3 linked regions of the Schizosaccharomyces pombe genome follow. The gene in region 3 interacts genetically with the main gene of each other region. Each region holds a gene or a part of one and is shown on either strand. Other genes may lie near its edges.

Region 1 (5,279 bases), 540 kb from region 3:
AATGTCGTTCTTTGGCCTTAAAAGATATTCTACTCCTATTTTAAAACCTATGCTTCCTTTTTTTCTAGGGGGTATGTATATTTTTCAACGATTTGAATTATTATTAACATGTCTTGACAGGAGCCATCGTATTCTATGGTACTGTAAAGCTTCGTGATGCTATGATGGATTGTACGTTTTTAATAGAAATAGAACAATTTTTTAACTCTATGTAGCTGCGGAGTATCGCAATGATCCTAGAAACCCAAAGGCTGGAAAGTACGGAAGTGATCATTAAGTTGATGACGAGTTCATGTCTTTCACTTCCTAAAATGTTTCAGCCCTTTTGATGTGATTTAATGGAAGTCAATGAAATTACACTGCTTGTTTTTGTAGCAGTTACAATTGATCAAAAGTTCTGTAATCAATCGAATTTATTTGTAGGAGATCAATCATTTAAATTAAAGTATTAAATGTATATTTAAATATGAACTTTTCAAATAAACAGAAGGAAAAAATGAATTTCCATGCTTTTTAGGAATACATGTGTTGCACGAAATAAATATTCACTTTGACTGAAAAGTTATGTACTTAGTCGTCATTTAATTCGCTCATTTTGTAATCTTTTAATTTACCTAGATAATTTGATAATCCTCAGAAAAAGTACCTCAAACATATTGTTCCTATTTTGTGTTTCCAATTAAGCAGATCTTTGGGCACGGATTTCAAAAGCTGTAAAATAACGTATTACAGAAGGTTTAGTATACACTTCTATATTGAAGCTGGTATTGTATTCTCTAGAACTGAGGCTTTTACTAAAAATAAAGCAGTATTAGCATTTTTCGTTTTCAATACTACTTCGCCATGTAGGCGATCGTTTTTTGCATTCACTCCAAAAAAGAATCATCGGAAAAACTATTGAAAGAGAATAGCAGTTCAATATGATTCTGTAAGTAAAATCCTGAACGTTCATAGAAAATCATTTTGGATTTGTTTGCTTTGTTTACAAAACAAATCACTTTGAAGTGATTCTCTTTGAGGATATGAAAAAATATGCTAGAATTCCACATTCTTCATAATGTAAACAAAACATTATTGCTTTTTGTATCAATAAATTTAATCCAAACCTCTTTTCTTTCCACTAGAAAACCACATGTCATTCATATTTTGTACTTTTCGGAAGAAAGTCAGAACAAGCTCCCACTCAGGTACTTCATGCTACAATGTAATGCACAAACAATTGAAGGGTAAAATATCTGTTGGAGCAAATGATTCCGTGACATTTCAGCCACATCACAAACGGCTTACTTCGGAATAAACAAATATTATTCTAACGGAAAAGAAAAAAAAAAATCCGCGTTCAGTAGAAGTCACTGCAAAAATATGAACCAACAAATTTGAATTCGCTTTGCTTACTAAATTTATTAAGTCTCATGTAAAGAAACAATCAACATCCACAGCCTTAAGGCAATCATGGTACAAACATTAAATAAAATATTCCACTCTTTTAGAAACGAGCATCTTAAAAAATTAGTTGACGAGGGAAGTAAACAAAGACATTGAAGTATTGCTTAGTAAAATAAAAAATTAGTCACATTACATTGTATATATCATGTATTCAAAACATCCTTCTACTCCAAATATAGCTCGTTGCAGCGCTCTATTTGCCTTCCTCTTTGATTTCTGTGATGATGCGATTCTAACAACCACAGTCATCTCTGTGAATTAGAATCTTAGCAAAATGACGGTTGTTGACATTAAGATTGGTAATAAATATCGTATAGGTAGAAAAATTGGTTCTGGCTCCTTTGGTCAAATTTACCTGGGATTAAATACGGTAAATGGAGAACAAGTTGCTGTGAAATTGGAGCCTTTAAAGGCTCGTCATCATCAGTTAGAATATGAGTAAGTAGTGCTTTAATATTTTTTTACTTAAGTATAAGTTGGATTTCTTTCGGAACTCCAATTTCTTCTTTATATCTATCAACCGTAGCTCGATGTTTTACAACCAAAAAGGAAAAGCAAAAGTTACTCCATTTGGTTATTTTTCTTTTTTCTTTCTAACATTTAGGTTTCGTGTGTATAATATTCTTAAAGGAAATATTGGCATACCCACAATTCGCTGGTTCGGTGTAACCAATAGTTATAATGCTATGGTCATGGATTTATTAGGCCCTTCTCTGGAAGATTTATTCTGCTATTGTGGAAGAAAGTTTACTCTTAAAACGGTTCTTTTACTTGCTGATCAACTCATCAGTCGCATTGAATATGTTCACTCCAAGTCATTCTTACATCGAGACATTAAGCCTGATAATTTTTTAATGAAGAAGCACAGCAATGTTGTTACGATGATTGACTTCGGATTGGCGAAAAAATACAGGGATTTTAAAACTCATGTTCATATTCCATATCGAGATAATAAGAATCTTACGGGAACGGCTCGATATGCTAGTATTAACACCCATATTGGTATTGAACAATCTCGCCGTGATGACCTCGAATCGTTAGGTTATGTTTTACTTTATTTTTGTCGCGGCAGTTTGCCCTGGCAAGGCTTACAAGCTGATACAAAGGAGCAAAAGTATCAACGGATACGTGATACCAAGATTGGCACTCCTTTGGAAGTCCTTTGCAAAGGTCTTCCCGAAGAGTTTATCACTTACATGTGTTACACTCGTCAGCTTTCGTTTACCGAGAAGCCAAACTATGCTTATTTGAGAAAGCTGTTTCGTGATTTACTTATTCGTAAAGGATACCAGTATGACTATGTTTTTGACTGGATGATATTAAAATACGTAAGTTTTGAAAAGAAAATGATAAGGTGATACGTTAGTTTAACCTTAACAAATGATTGAAAATTCGATTGACTAACTATTATTAGCAAAAGCGAGCTGCTGCTGCTGCCGCCGCTTCTGCTACAGCACCTCCACAGGTTACATCTCCTATGGTGTCACAAACTCAACCGGTTAATCCCATTACTCCTAATTATTCATCCATTCCCTTACCTGCTGAGCGGAATCCAAAGACTCCACAATCTTTCTCCACTAATATTGTTCAATGTGCTTCTCCCTCACCTCTTCCTCTCTCCTTTCGTTCTCCTGTTCCCAACAAAGATTATGAATACATTCCATCTTCGTTGCAACCTCAATACAGTGCTCAACTGAGGCGTGTTTTAGATGAAGAACCAGCTCCTTGATTTTTTGACTTTACTTTTCATCAATTCCTCTCTTACACTACGTCTTTTAGTCTTAAATTCCAAACCATCTGTTGACGTTTTAAAGTTCCACAAATATCTTTAATAATTCCTGGCTTTCTTTTTTGTCTATGGATGGCCGGATTGCTACACTAATACACTTTGAGGTTTAGCTATTGTTTTGAGCTATTCCATTTTGCCTAGAAGTTGAGTTTTAATGCCTTCTTTTTAAATAGACATATTGTGTAAACCTCATACATGCTTTACTGAAAAGACATAATTAGAGGACAAAATTTAAATCGTGCTGTTTGTTTATATTCAGCTCGTTCCGGTCAAGTTCTTGCCAAAGAATTGAGTCAGTCGTGCTATTCATTTCTAAATTTCTTCTTCCCAGAATTTTATTTTATTGTTTTCGTTCCCCATTGGTTCTTACATTCCGTTTTTATTCAAAACTGAAAAGTTTGTACCTCCATTGCTAGAAGTAATATACACAAGGAGCATGTTTCTTTTTTTACACTATCATTTGCGTGGCTCTAAACCAGTCTTTATTGCCTACCTTTGCAATAAAAGATATAATATCAATTGCATAAGAAATAATTCATTAATAAATGATAAATTTCATCGATTAAATAGATCGCTATTTTTCACACTGTATTATGGGCAAGTAGCGTAAAAAATATTAGCTCTGTTGGAGTTGACCGCTGGATCATCAAGTTTTACATACTATTTAATTTCGGCTGTAGCAAAGAAAAATATCCATCGATTTGCCATATTATCATATCTATTGCTTTCTGTGGTATTTTAACCACCGGTATTTCACTTCTACAAATGTAAACAAAGCACGTTGATTTGTTTACATTACAGTTGCCCCAGTAACACATTATGGATCAGCACCACAAAGAAAAATCATTCAAAATTGATGCTCAAATTCAATATTCTACAGGCTCAAGAAGGGATCTATACTTATTTTTACTAAACCCATAACTATCATCTCTGTTTCGTCTGCGGTAAAAAAAAAATTGTTTAGATTAATGTAAAAACAGAGCAAAATGAGATTTGTCACTTAGTACAACAATGTGTTACCTCTACACGCAACTCCTGAGTTGCGTCGCATGTTATTTGATGAGCTGACTTTGCGCACAAAACCAATACATAACAAAGAGATCTTAGGATTTGGAAGTTGCGCTACACCAAATACTTTTCATATTCGGTAAAGGGAAAGATTTTAAAAAAAGCTTCAGAATGGGATCAAGGTATGTACTAAATCTGATCAATCAATGTCTAACTAATCATTAGATTCGGTAGAAGAAAAGAACGCAATGGCGATATGTTGCCCTTGTATGAGTCTCAATCTCCTCAGCATTTAGACTCCTTGGAAAATGAAAATGATGAACGGATTTCAAAGTTAACTGGAAAAGTCAAGTCTTTGAAAGAGGTAAGATTTTTGCCATCATCAGGAAAAACATGCTAACTAATTTTAATAGCTTACTATGAATATTGGGACTGAGATAACGTCTTCTACTAAGTTGATGGAGTCAATGAACGACTCATTTGACTCGACCAAGTCACTTTTGAGCGGGACAATGACTCGATTAAAGAATGTTTCGAAGAATGGAGGAATTTCAATTTGGATGTGGCTCGCCTTCTTTTGCCTCGTTGCGCTTATCCTCGTTTTGGTAAGATTTTAGGCATTTTGCTTACTACCTTTACTCTTTTTTAGAGTTAGCATTTTTATGATTCATTTTATGGCGTGTATAATCTGTTAAAATTGTATACTTGAAGTTTCTTCATTCTCTTTTCTTCTAACATTTTCATTCTGATTATTTTAAACTTATTATCGATAGAAAAAAAACATTCATCCACCTTTGGTGTTTCCACACAAGTGGTTTGTCACGATAGGAACGCAAATCCTCAATTTTTGTTTTCCTAACGACTTTGTTTTTAACTTATTACATCCTGTTATTATAAGTTTCTATCTGTTATTCATGATACTAGCCCTTCACTCGTCGTCTTACCATTTTTGTAAATTGACGCAACTATTACATTTGAGTTTTATTCAAGTTTATCGGCATGCAGGTCATGTCTTTTGCATTTTCTATTCCCAAGC
Region 2 (5,995 bases), 1.4 Mb from region 3:
TCCCAGGATAGTAGTCAGATAACTAGATCCTTCACTGTAATGTCTATTGAAAGCAAATGTATCTTATTAAAAACTTAGTGAGTTATTCGTTTTCGTTAAATATTGTTATAAAAATTTACGGTAAAGATTCGTATTTAAAACAACGCTATGCAACGAAGTATTGTAATGCTACTTACTGTAATGTGTCAAACTGAAAGACACTATCAATGCTGTCCCAGATGGACATTCTAAGGGCTGAACTTCTTACTACCAGGTACGACAGAATATACTTCAATGTCGGCTCAGAAAAGGGTGTTTTTAAAGGTTGTTATATTAGGAGATAGTGGCGTTGGAAAAACATGTTTAATGAATCAGGTATGTTAATGCTAGGGGAGTTGCTGATGTGGTCGACGTATCGTACAGACGAGCTTTTTTAAGCATTACCCTCGAATTCAACCATTGATGGTGTAGTGGTTATCAATTGAAGCGTTAAATTTTATACGTTCAGTATATTTTTCTTTTTGGTTTTTGTATTGAGCTGTAAAATCCAATACTGCAATTTCCCATTGATTTTATGTCGATAAGTTGTTATTTGTCGCTACAAGGTGATTGCTTTTAAAATTTATTCACTTTGTTATTAAATACTAGCTCAAATATGGTTAACGATCTTTACATCAGCTTCTCTATGAGTATTGCTTTGGCAATTTGTTAACATCGTCATTTTAGTTCGTCAATCAAAAGTTTAGTCGCGAATATAAAGCTACCATCGGTGCTGATTTTTTAACCAAGGACGTTGTGGTTGACGACAAATTGGTCACATTACAGGTAAGTTCCAATATAAGTTCCGCCCATCTAAATTCGTTTGCTAATTATAAACAGCTTTGGGATACTGCTGGTCAAGAACGATTTCAAAGCCTGGGAATGGCTTTTTACAGAGGGGCCGATTGTTGTGTAATTGTTTATAATGTGAATAACTCGAAGTCTTTTGACTCAGTAGAAAACTGGAGGCAAGAATTTTTATATCAAACTTCACAAGATGAATGTGCATTCCCTTTCATTATCGTTGGAAATCAAATCGACAAAGACGCGTCTAAACGAGCCGTATCTCTTCATCGAGCTCTTGACTATTGCAAATCCAAACATGGATCAAATATGATTCATTTTGAAGCTAGTGCAAAAGAAAATACAAACGTTACTGACCTTTTCGAAACAGTCAGTCGTTTAGCTTTAGAAAATGAAAGCTCGAGAGATGACTTTGTTAATGACTTCTCTGAACCTTTGCTTCTTTCAAAGCCTTTGAATAATACATCTTCTTGTAATTGCTAGATATTCACACGCTCTCTCAGATTCTTTTACATTTCAAAATGTGCTATACGTTTTCTTTTCATAATATTTTTTTACATTGCTATTTTAACAAAACTATGGTTACTTTCTGTTCTTAATTCTTCTCTTTTCCCTCTATTGATACACGTTTTTTTTTAGGTGTAAATAGTCTTTTAATTATGACCTCAGTTAATAAACTTTTATGAATTATCTATATGCTGTATTCATATGCAAAAATATGTATATTTAAATTTGATCGATTAGGTAAATAAGAAGCTTAAAAGCCTTCTTCTCCCCATTCATCCTCCATCGGTGTACAATTTGTAATATTGTTGAGTGGAGCAGAAAAAATGTTGGTAGTGGGGGACGGTGATGATGGAATTGTCTTTACGGGTGATGCTCTTATGGGGGATATCTTCATAGGAGAAAAAGGAAGGTTCTGCGAGCTGTTTTCAATGTCCATCTCGGGTGTTTGTTCTTTCAGATTAGTTCTTTGCAATTTTTCCGACATAATATTTAAAGCGTGTTCATTAACTACACGCTGCTTTGGAGGACTTAATGGGACGTTCTTAGATGAAGCCTTTGAATACGTTTCATGAGGAGTTCGAGAGTAATTTGGGTGCGGTGACTTGGATTCAAAATGTGTATTGCGAGATACAGAATTTGGAAACTTGTTAAAAGGGGTATTGGAATTTCCAGAAACGGGTGAAGAAGACATATTGCTGTCACTACCATTTGCCCCTTGTCTTATCATGTTCGCGCTTCGAGACCGACTAGCACTGTTTAATCTAGCGTTTATATCAATTCGATTAGCAGTGGGGTGTCTTCTATTGGCGGTACTGGTTGCTGATGGCGGTTCTGCACTAATGGAACGACTTGGATTTTGAGTGTTTTTTACTCTAGGAAGCGGTGTCCTTGGACTCGTCATAGCTCGAGAAGCGGACCTAACACTTGGTGTTGAAGGTACAGCTACACGCCCTCGTTGAGAAGGTGTTCTATTAACAGAGTCCGTTGTAGTTGCTGTTTTCGGGCGGTTTGCGGCAGCACTTGCACTTCTATATAATGATTTTGGTTGAGTGGCCTCTTGGCAAATCTTGAGAAGTGGTTCATCATAAAAAAGGAACGTCCTTCCATTTCTTTCTTCCCATGCTGTAATCTCTGGTATAAGCAGCGACTGAACCTTAGGAAGTTCTCTAGAAAGTCGCTTACGGATTTTCTCTTCACGTAGAAGTAAACCTGGGTCCCGGCGTCCCCGTTGTGTTAGACGAGAGGCATCATTAGAACTAGCTTCAAGCTCTTTCTTTCCTTCTATTAAAGAGGCATAGCGATTAATTAAGCTTAAAAAGGACTTATTAGCAGAAACTTCGGCCTCTAGTTGCTTTATATAGTTTTCATGGGCCGTAAGAACCTGCTCTGTAATAATGTCTTCATACATAGGTGTAAAGGACTTTCTTTGTTCTTCTGAATAAAACAGAGAATCCCAAAGCTGAAGAATTTGTTGACGACAGTCTTCTAAAAAAATGGGTAAATGCTCCTTTTTTAACTGATGAAGTTTTTCAAGTTCAGTTTCCCATAATGAAATATTTTCTTGATTAATGTTTGATGAATCGCCAAATTGACTTTGTTCATTGGGAGAAACTTGAAGCTTATTCCACAAGTTGCTAACTTCTGATTGTATACTTTTTAAATGATCACTTCTCTTTTCTTTTTCAGCGGAAAAAACTTCTTTTTGCTTGCAAAGTTGGTCGATAAGTTCTTGAGTAACATAAACATCATTTGGTCGATTAGTATGGGATTCAAGCAATTGTTCGTATTGTGGAACATCAGCGGGCTCAACACCGAGTTCAGACCACAAACCCAAAATTTCTTCTTCAAAGGAATTAATAACCTCTAATCTCGCATCAATCTCCTTTTCGGCTTCGTTGATGCGTCCTCTCAAAGATTCAGTAAAAGCATCGGATACATCAGATAAAAATGAATTCTCAAAATCAGGTAAAACGAACGGACTTCCTAAGCGGTTACAATATGACTCCAATTTGTGATACATTTCTATACATCAGTTAAAACACAAGTCTAAATTAAAGACGATTACATACCTTTAATCGTACTTAACTTTTGATCATACTGTGCCATATATTGTCCTTCTACCATTGACAAACGATTCAAACACTGAATTAAAGGAGACTCAATTTTGAGACTAGAAGTATCATCCGTTAACTTTAATGAGGAAACCAAAAATCTGATTGAATCAATTCTTTGCTGACAGTCATCTTCAAGTTTTTTCTGGCACTGTTCCATTTCATGAAGCTGGGCATTCATTGCCGTTGTAAACAACTCAAATAATGATGAATTGTCTCCATCTGTTCCAAGGACTTGGTGAAGCCTTTCAATTTTAGAAAAATGCTTTTCCACTTGTTCACGAAACGCTTTCCAAGTAAAGTTAGATTCATTATTAGAGTGATTATCTTTTTCAGCAATAGAATCAGTGCTTTGAATGTCATCCATCATTACTGTTTGCATTGAACCGGTTGATGTAAATGAGCTCAATAAAACGATGTTTGAAATTCAATTAATAGAATATAAAGGAAGATATGAAAACTGTTAAGATGTTGATATATTATAACATAACAAGCAGTACAAGGAATTAACCTTGCATAAAAGCTTGGCACAAAAATGGTGGTTGGATATGGCTTGGCCTGCGAAAGTAACTCAGCATGCGCTTATATTCCAAAGAAAGCAAATAGATTTCAATGTCAGCACTGTATAAACGTTATTCAGCTCCTTTTAGTATAAACAAAATACTTAGAATTGTAAGTTGAAGAATATTTATGTGCCTGAAATATACCAATGTAAGGAAGCACATAAAGTTCTACAAACTGGTATCTTTTGCTCTACCTAAAATATGATACAAGAAAATTCAAATACTGCTTAAAAGGATACAAAGGCTTACTTTTTAAGTCTTATCGTAATCAATATAATTAGACTTATGCATACAAAATATCATCTAAGAGAGAAAAGCATTCATGATTTGTTCAATTCTTTTATTTGCTCATATTCAAAGACAGGATCTAGGACTATGGGAGAATTATTTTATGTAATATTAACCGCAATTGGGATTCAACCCAGTATCGCGAAACCCATTTCCTTTAAAAAAAAAATCATATACAACAAAAAGAAACAATTGTGAGTCGATTGTCCATAAAGACAGTAGGGATAAAAAAGTATTGGGTGAGAAAAAAATGAAAATAAATATAACCAGCTTGGAAGAATGCAAATGTATATAAGTCATGCGTTAAATTTTTACAATTCAACATGCAAAGGGCTAGTGGAGAAGGTAACGGCAGGCTTTGGGAGGTAAATTAACTGGGCTCGGCCAGCAGTGTTTGCTGATAGCTTTCCAGCTCGTCGCATTTGAGCTTCTAAAACAAATACTCGGAAAAAATTAGGATTTAATCGAGGACGTCTGATTTCAGGTTTCACACTTCGCTTTTCCCAGGGTTGAAGCGGGGTGTACAAAGTGAAATTGGCATCTGGCGCACAATCCTCCATCAACCAATCATCCTGAAAAAGCTTGAAATTTTGACAAAGCAAACCATTTGTCAGGTTGCTTTCGCCATGCGAAGATGAGAGATTTAAAATGGAGGCACTTGGATCCAAATGCACTTCTGGCTTGTGAAATACACGTCTGATGATATTACGAGATAGCGACATTATTTTATGCTGTAAAGAAGCTCGAGACTTATTTAAAGATGCTAAAGATGTTTTTTTGGACAACCTAGATGAGTAGAAATTAGATGATAAACTAGAGCCACTCCTATTGCAGGCGGTCAAGTTAGAGGAAGCATCCTTTGATTGTTCCAAAAAAGAGGATTGCTCCTCAAGACTTTTAGAAAGTGGATGGTTATGCTCTACGGGCTCCATAACTATGATATTGTTAGCAACGATGAATAAATAAAAGATAAGAGAAAAGGTTGAAAAATCTTAAAAGAACATACATTGACCTCTTAAACGAGGAACAGATTTGGATTTTTTTAAGTTGTTAATATTCAAGTAAATATCAAGGCTATTTGCGTTTACGAGGTTACAAGAGGAAGAGCTGGGAGTTGCAGGATTTGGCCCCGAATAGTAAGAGTAAGAAGCGACTGAAGACGTTTCCGAAGCAGAGTAGGAGGAGTATTCAGGGAATGAATTACACGAAAAATTCCACAAACAGTCGTAAGAATGAGAGTTGGTAGAAGCAGAACACTCGACAGGTGTAGAAAGAAGAAAGCAGTAATCACCTCTATTAACATCATCATTGTGTAATTTTTTGGACGAAGACAAAAAACGATCTAATTGTGATTTAAGAGTTTTTTTATTAGATAGAGTACTCAAGCGATGTGAAATTTTTCTATAACGATTGGGAACAGGGATCTTGGTTTCACTCAGCAACTGAAAAACGGCGTCTTGCTTTGATGCACAAGAATGGGTATCCTGAGACTGATAAATTAAATCCATCTCACTAGCTTGAGAGCTGCAAAGATTATGATCCCAACATTCGCATTGACAAGTTACCGGAGCTACTTCTGTGAGTGCTTTAGAGAAGCCAATTTCCAATGGTCTTAATTCCATCCGAGTCATCATAGAAAGAAATGTAAAAAGAAAGAAAATATAGCGCCTATATATAAAGCCAATTGATCAAATCCTACCGGTT
Region 3 (4,863 bases):
ATGCTTAATAAAAGGTAATTATTAAATAAATATTGATGAGAGGGGGTAAGAATAAGAATTAGGAAAACCTAACAGCTGTGAGACAGTAATAATTAATATTAGAAATCATGCACACATCTCAAGGAAACTGATTAACCTTGGATTGTCGTTAAAAAAATAAAGACTTTGATCGTTTTCTTGAGTATATACACAACGGATAAATTAGTTCAGCCATTTGCGAACAATTTCGAAACTGAGGAAGGTAACCGAACTGGCAGGTATGGTGCGTATAAAATTTGTTGCCATGCCAGAGTAATATTTTCTCCAACCCTCTGAACGCCATATGTCTCGAATAAGTAAGGTAGCCGAGTTGTGTGTAGGTGCATCCAAACTCTGCAACCGAGTTCTCAAAACTTCATGAGGATAAGTGACGGTAGAAGCTGCGATTTTAGACAAAGTAGCTGCTAACACTATATGAAAGTTGCTTTTTTTACCAAAAAAATCATCCAAAAATGATTTAAAATATTCGTACAGTGGAAATTGGATGCCAACATGCAATGTACCAAATAAAGAGGGGAAAAGACCTCGGTAAAATGCTGCAAGGCCTTCGTATTTATAAATTTTTCGAAATGCGTCAAATGTGTTGTTGTATGCAGGTGAACATGCAGGGCCTGTGGGAGGATTCACTGGATGCTGTGATGGAGAAGATTTGACATTCGTCCTACGCTTGAGCCAAAAGCGAGGCATTCTCCATTTGACGGATGGTGCGTCCGTTTGAAGATTACGAAACTGGACGGTTGTAGCCGCAGCAATTTTATCTACAAAAGAAGAAGCCCTAGGATGTGATTGAGTGACTAACCTTGTTTTTACAACCCAAATGGGGTTAGTAAGAGTGACACTTGCAGCACCGGCGATAACCGCAGAAAAGATTTGACCACCCCAGTAACGATAAAATTGTTTGTCAGAACTATCTAAGGAAGCCTTGATGCCAACCTTGGACGAATCAATTTCGTGGAGAGAAGTGTATTTTTTATTTACCCCAAATAGCACTTTGCATTTTTCATAGACTACAAAATAAATGGACCAACTAGGAAGATAACCTAACATCATGGGTCCAACACCTCTATAAAGACCGGCGATGCCTTCATTGTGAAAAATTGTTCGCATCGAACTGAGGGTCCCACCCAAAACCATTGTATTTTTTCCACCACCAGTTGAATAAAAAGCCTTTTGTGCCTGCTTTCTTGTTTTTACTACATCTAAAGGTGCCACTACAAGAGAAGAGGCCAATCCAGCAGCTCCTCCTGCTATAGCATCCTTTAGAGAATCATCAACCATAAAGACGGATCAATTTCCTGATGATAATGCATGCATCTAAAGAAAACAGCAATTAAATAATAGACCTTGACAAATTCTTTACTTTTTTAGACGCTGATAAGAACGATCCAACGCCTTACGATGTTTCAAATTGGAAATGTATATATATTTTAGCGTTGATGTAAGAAGCTGTACAACAACATATATGTAAGTAAAGTGTTTGGCAGCCGTCAATAAGAAAGTCGAATCACTGTGCGGTAAACCACATTAACGACATGAATGTCTCCGAATTACTAATTGAGAGGACGTTCCATGCCCTTAAAAGAGAATTTCTTTTATATGTGCATATCAGATATGATTAAAGTCGTAATGCCCATTAACAATATATAATGGTGACATTGATGTTGCTAACAGCTTTACACACATATCTCAATTTTACTTCACAGATCAGTTGGCTTTATAAGCACCATTGGAACAGTGCTTTTGCTTTTGCTTTTGCTCGTATAAGTATTAAGAGGAAATTACTAATATAAAACCTTAGTTTTTCATTTTTTTCCAAGTCCAAACATATTGTTTTTATACATTAGCTTCTCTTGATTACCGCCAATTTCTAGTCGAAAAAATTATTTTTTTAAGAAATCCTACATTTGCTGAGAAGAAATGTTGAAAACGTAGTAACTACACAGTGTACCACTATATTGTTGGATAACTTTGTAAACTCCAACGTACTGTTTTGTCATACTCTTATTGTCAACTTTAGAAGCAAGATGTAGAATTAATATACTTGTAAATAACTGAAACACCATTTTTGTCGAGACTTAACTTCAAATATATTGACAGGTGATTGCCTCTATTGCCCTCATTGGAATAGTGCGTTGAACAATCAGACTGTAGCCAGGCTTATGGGACAATAATTCCTTCTTCAATTACTTATTGCTTTAGCAAAGATAAAGTGATTAAATTGGCTAACCGTGACAATAATGAGCTTTAAGTCTCAATTACTTATCCTTGCTCAGAAGCTGTCGAAAGGTGGTATTTCTTGTGAGTTGATTGAGTTTGATGAGTGTATTTTGAAGTTAGAATGGCATACTGAGCTACTTGATAAAAATGATTCCTTATTATACGAGCAGGAAGAAGATGATATTTTAAGCCTTATGAATCCAATGATCACTATGCACGCCTGGATTAGGGATTCTCCATCCTTCGAAGTCCCGCAGTTCTTCTTTCAACCTTATGCAAACGGATCAGATCCTCTTACCAAGATGGAACAGATTTTTGAGTTATTAGAAGGATCCAGTCAAAATTTAGCATATGACGCTCTTGCTATTGGGGACTGTCCAGGTACAGTAGGCATAGCATGGTATATCCATCCATGTCGTACGCGTGATTATTTCGAAATGCTTCAGATAGACAAAGAGGATCCCAAGTATCTCTCTCTTTGGTTGCTATATATTCATCAAGTCCTTTCTCCGCTAACTCAGCCTATAATAAAAGCAGTTGACGATGCCGAAAAATCCTAAAGATAACCTGTTATAAACGGGTATGCTTGCTAAGACTTTGTCTTATTAAATATTATTCCCCATGATTAAAACTAAATTAAAAGTCAATTTAATCCGTATTCTCTGGTTTTAGTTTATAATACCCTGTGAATCTATAGTAAAATTTTGACCTGTTATTTGACAGCAAAAACATTACGGATCTGAAGACCTCAATTGTAGAAAATAGCTTTTGTTCTTTAAATTTGTAGATAAAATACTATACTAATTAATAATCCTTCTGTTTTGACATATCATTCAACTGTTCCACTTAAACCTCTACTTGACCGCATTGATCTCTACACCAACAATTGTTTGTTAAGACAAACGAAACCGGGTTATATACTATTCCTCCTAACACACCTTAGCAACAAATATGGAACAAGTTCCTGTTCTAGCAGAAGATCAAAGGAATTTAAATGAATTTTCAGTGTTGCATTCTCGAAAGGCCATTCAAGAACTTGATATTAAGAATTTAAAAACGCAAATAGAGGATATTGTTGACGCTAAAAATGAATGTGAATTACTAGACGAGGATGATGGAGACGATATTCCAGCTTTAAAGGTTGGCGATGCCTTTTTCCAAGTTTCCCTTCCTGTACTCCTTGACCAGCTTGAGCAGTCAGAAGAAAGTTTGGAAAAGCAAGTCGACGTATTAAGATCTTCCATGGAAAAAGACGAAACCCGCATTCAAGAGTTGAAATCAATGCTGTACTCTAAATTTCACGATCAAATTAACCTAGACTAAGATTTGGAAAAAGCAGCAAATCTCAAAATTAGAAGCTTCATCTTATTTTTCTGAATTAGTTTCTTTAATTAAATAACATTTCATGCATTTAAATTTATTCACAATACCAAATCTGTATGCAATTAGCGCCTCCAATAAGTAAACTTCTTTGTTCACCCTAAGCCATTACAAGTATCCAACCACCACTATGGCACATGAGATTGAAATTGACTCGGAAGCTGACCTAGGTCGTACAACATTTGAGGCTGAAGACCTTTATAAGCAGAGAACTCCCATTACAAAGCCTCCGGCCCCTAGATTACAATCTCGTCGCGCATCCATGCAAGAGACGCCATGGACCATCAAAGATTCATTTAACGTGGAAACTAAAGATGTGGTTCAACGATGTATACATACTCTTATTCCCACTGTAAATTTCTTTGATGTTGTAGATGATCGTCCCGATTTATACGGTCCTTTTTGGATAACCACTACGGTTATACAGGCTCTATTCTTTTCCAACTCAATTACCGAATACGCTCGTTATGCCACAGGGCATGGTACAAGTGGCTATTCTATAAAAAAGTTGATCTCTGCAGCATCAATTATTTATGGTTACACTACCATTATCGCCGTTTTGTTATGGGGTATCCTAGTGTGGAACAAATGCAACCCTAAGTTACTCGACTGTCTGTGTTTATATGGATATGCTAACATTGTTTGGCTTCCCGTTTCTTTAGCAACTCCTCCGTTTGGATTGCTATCTACTTTGGCCTCCCATATTGTCAAATATGTACTTACAGGGATTGGTTTGTTAATTTCCATTGTGTTTTTAACTAGAAATTTATATCCTATCTGTCAGCAAGCCGGATCAAATTTGTGCAAACTTTTATTGTTCGGAATTATCGTCTTTCACTGTTTGCTCGCTTTGTCTCTTCAACTCATATTCTTCAGTTAATATCCTAATTTGTGAGGAGTTTCTTTTATCAGTCGCATTGCTTCATTCGAAAATTATACTATTCCCCTTCTTTCATTCTTTAGAAAAGTCATTCAGCATTTAAGATCCTATTGAGTCTAAGTGTTGGTATACTCTATATGATTCAGTTTATACATATATTCGCTTTACATTTGATTTTCTACTCTTTTTACTATAGCTACTAATGTTCCCTCAATTTACTAGGTTTTTTTTTCAGGTGCAAAATACGTATAAATAATCATTTCTTATGCATTGATGAATCATGCCTTAGTAAAAATAATTGTAGCCTTTTTAGTGAACCAAAGACTTTATGACATTTAGTCATATTT

What was found. A genetic interaction does not mean that the proteins touch.
Region 1: mutations in pfd4 (region 3) and hhp2 together harm fitness more than expected from each alone (negative genetic interaction), as found in Schizosaccharomyces pombe (2 studies listed by BioGRID).
Region 2: mutations in pfd4 (region 3) and ase1 together harm fitness more than expected from each alone (negative genetic interaction), as found in Schizosaccharomyces pombe (2 studies listed by BioGRID).

What each region holds. Positions count from the first base shown.
Region 1 is NC_003424.3:1,047,315-1,052,593, forward strand, and holds hhp2 (serine/threonine protein kinase (CK1 family) Hhp2), read left to right. Parts: upstream 1-1,683; 5' UTR 1,684-1,720; coding exon 1,721-1,884; intron 1,885-2,050; coding exon 2,051-2,774; intron 2,775-2,860; coding exon 2,861-3,175; 3' UTR 3,176-3,822; downstream 3,823-5,279. Other genes in the region: atp18 (F0-ATPase subunit J), read left to right, coding at 2-71, 121-171, 216-277; SNARE protein Bet1, read left to right, coding at 4,415-4,425, 4,469-4,607, 4,657-4,860. UniProt on the Schizosaccharomyces pombe protein: Involved in DNA repair. May regulate the activity of protein(s) involved in double strand break repair caused by gamma rays.
Region 2 is NC_003424.3:1,876,189-1,882,183, reverse strand, and holds ase1 (antiparallel microtubule cross-linking factor Ase1), read right to left. Parts: upstream 3,996-5,995; 5' UTR 3,823-3,995; coding exon 3,399-3,822; exon of another isoform or gene 3,352-3,398; coding exon 1,580-3,351; 3' UTR 1,458-1,579; downstream 1-1,457. Other genes in the region: GTPase Ypt71, read left to right, coding at 274-354, 706-804, 859-1,305; SPOM_SPAPB1A10.08 (uncharacterized protein), read right to left, coding at 4,603-5,225, 5,298-5,925. UniProt on the Schizosaccharomyces pombe protein: Required for anaphase spindle elongation and microtubule bundling in both interphase and mitosis. Has a role in spatial and temporal regulation of septation and cytokinesis and ensures equal partition of segregating sister chromatids.
Region 3 is NC_003424.3:502,777-507,639, forward strand, and holds pfd4 (prefoldin subunit 4), read left to right. Parts: upstream 1-3,132; 5' UTR 3,133-3,207; coding exon 3,208-3,579; downstream 3,580-4,863. Other genes in the region: yea6 (NAD+ transporter), read right to left, coding at 202-1,317; atg10 (autophagy C terminal domain family protein), read left to right, coding at 2,277-2,816; yip5 (Rab GTPase-binding protein), read left to right, coding at 3,767-4,516.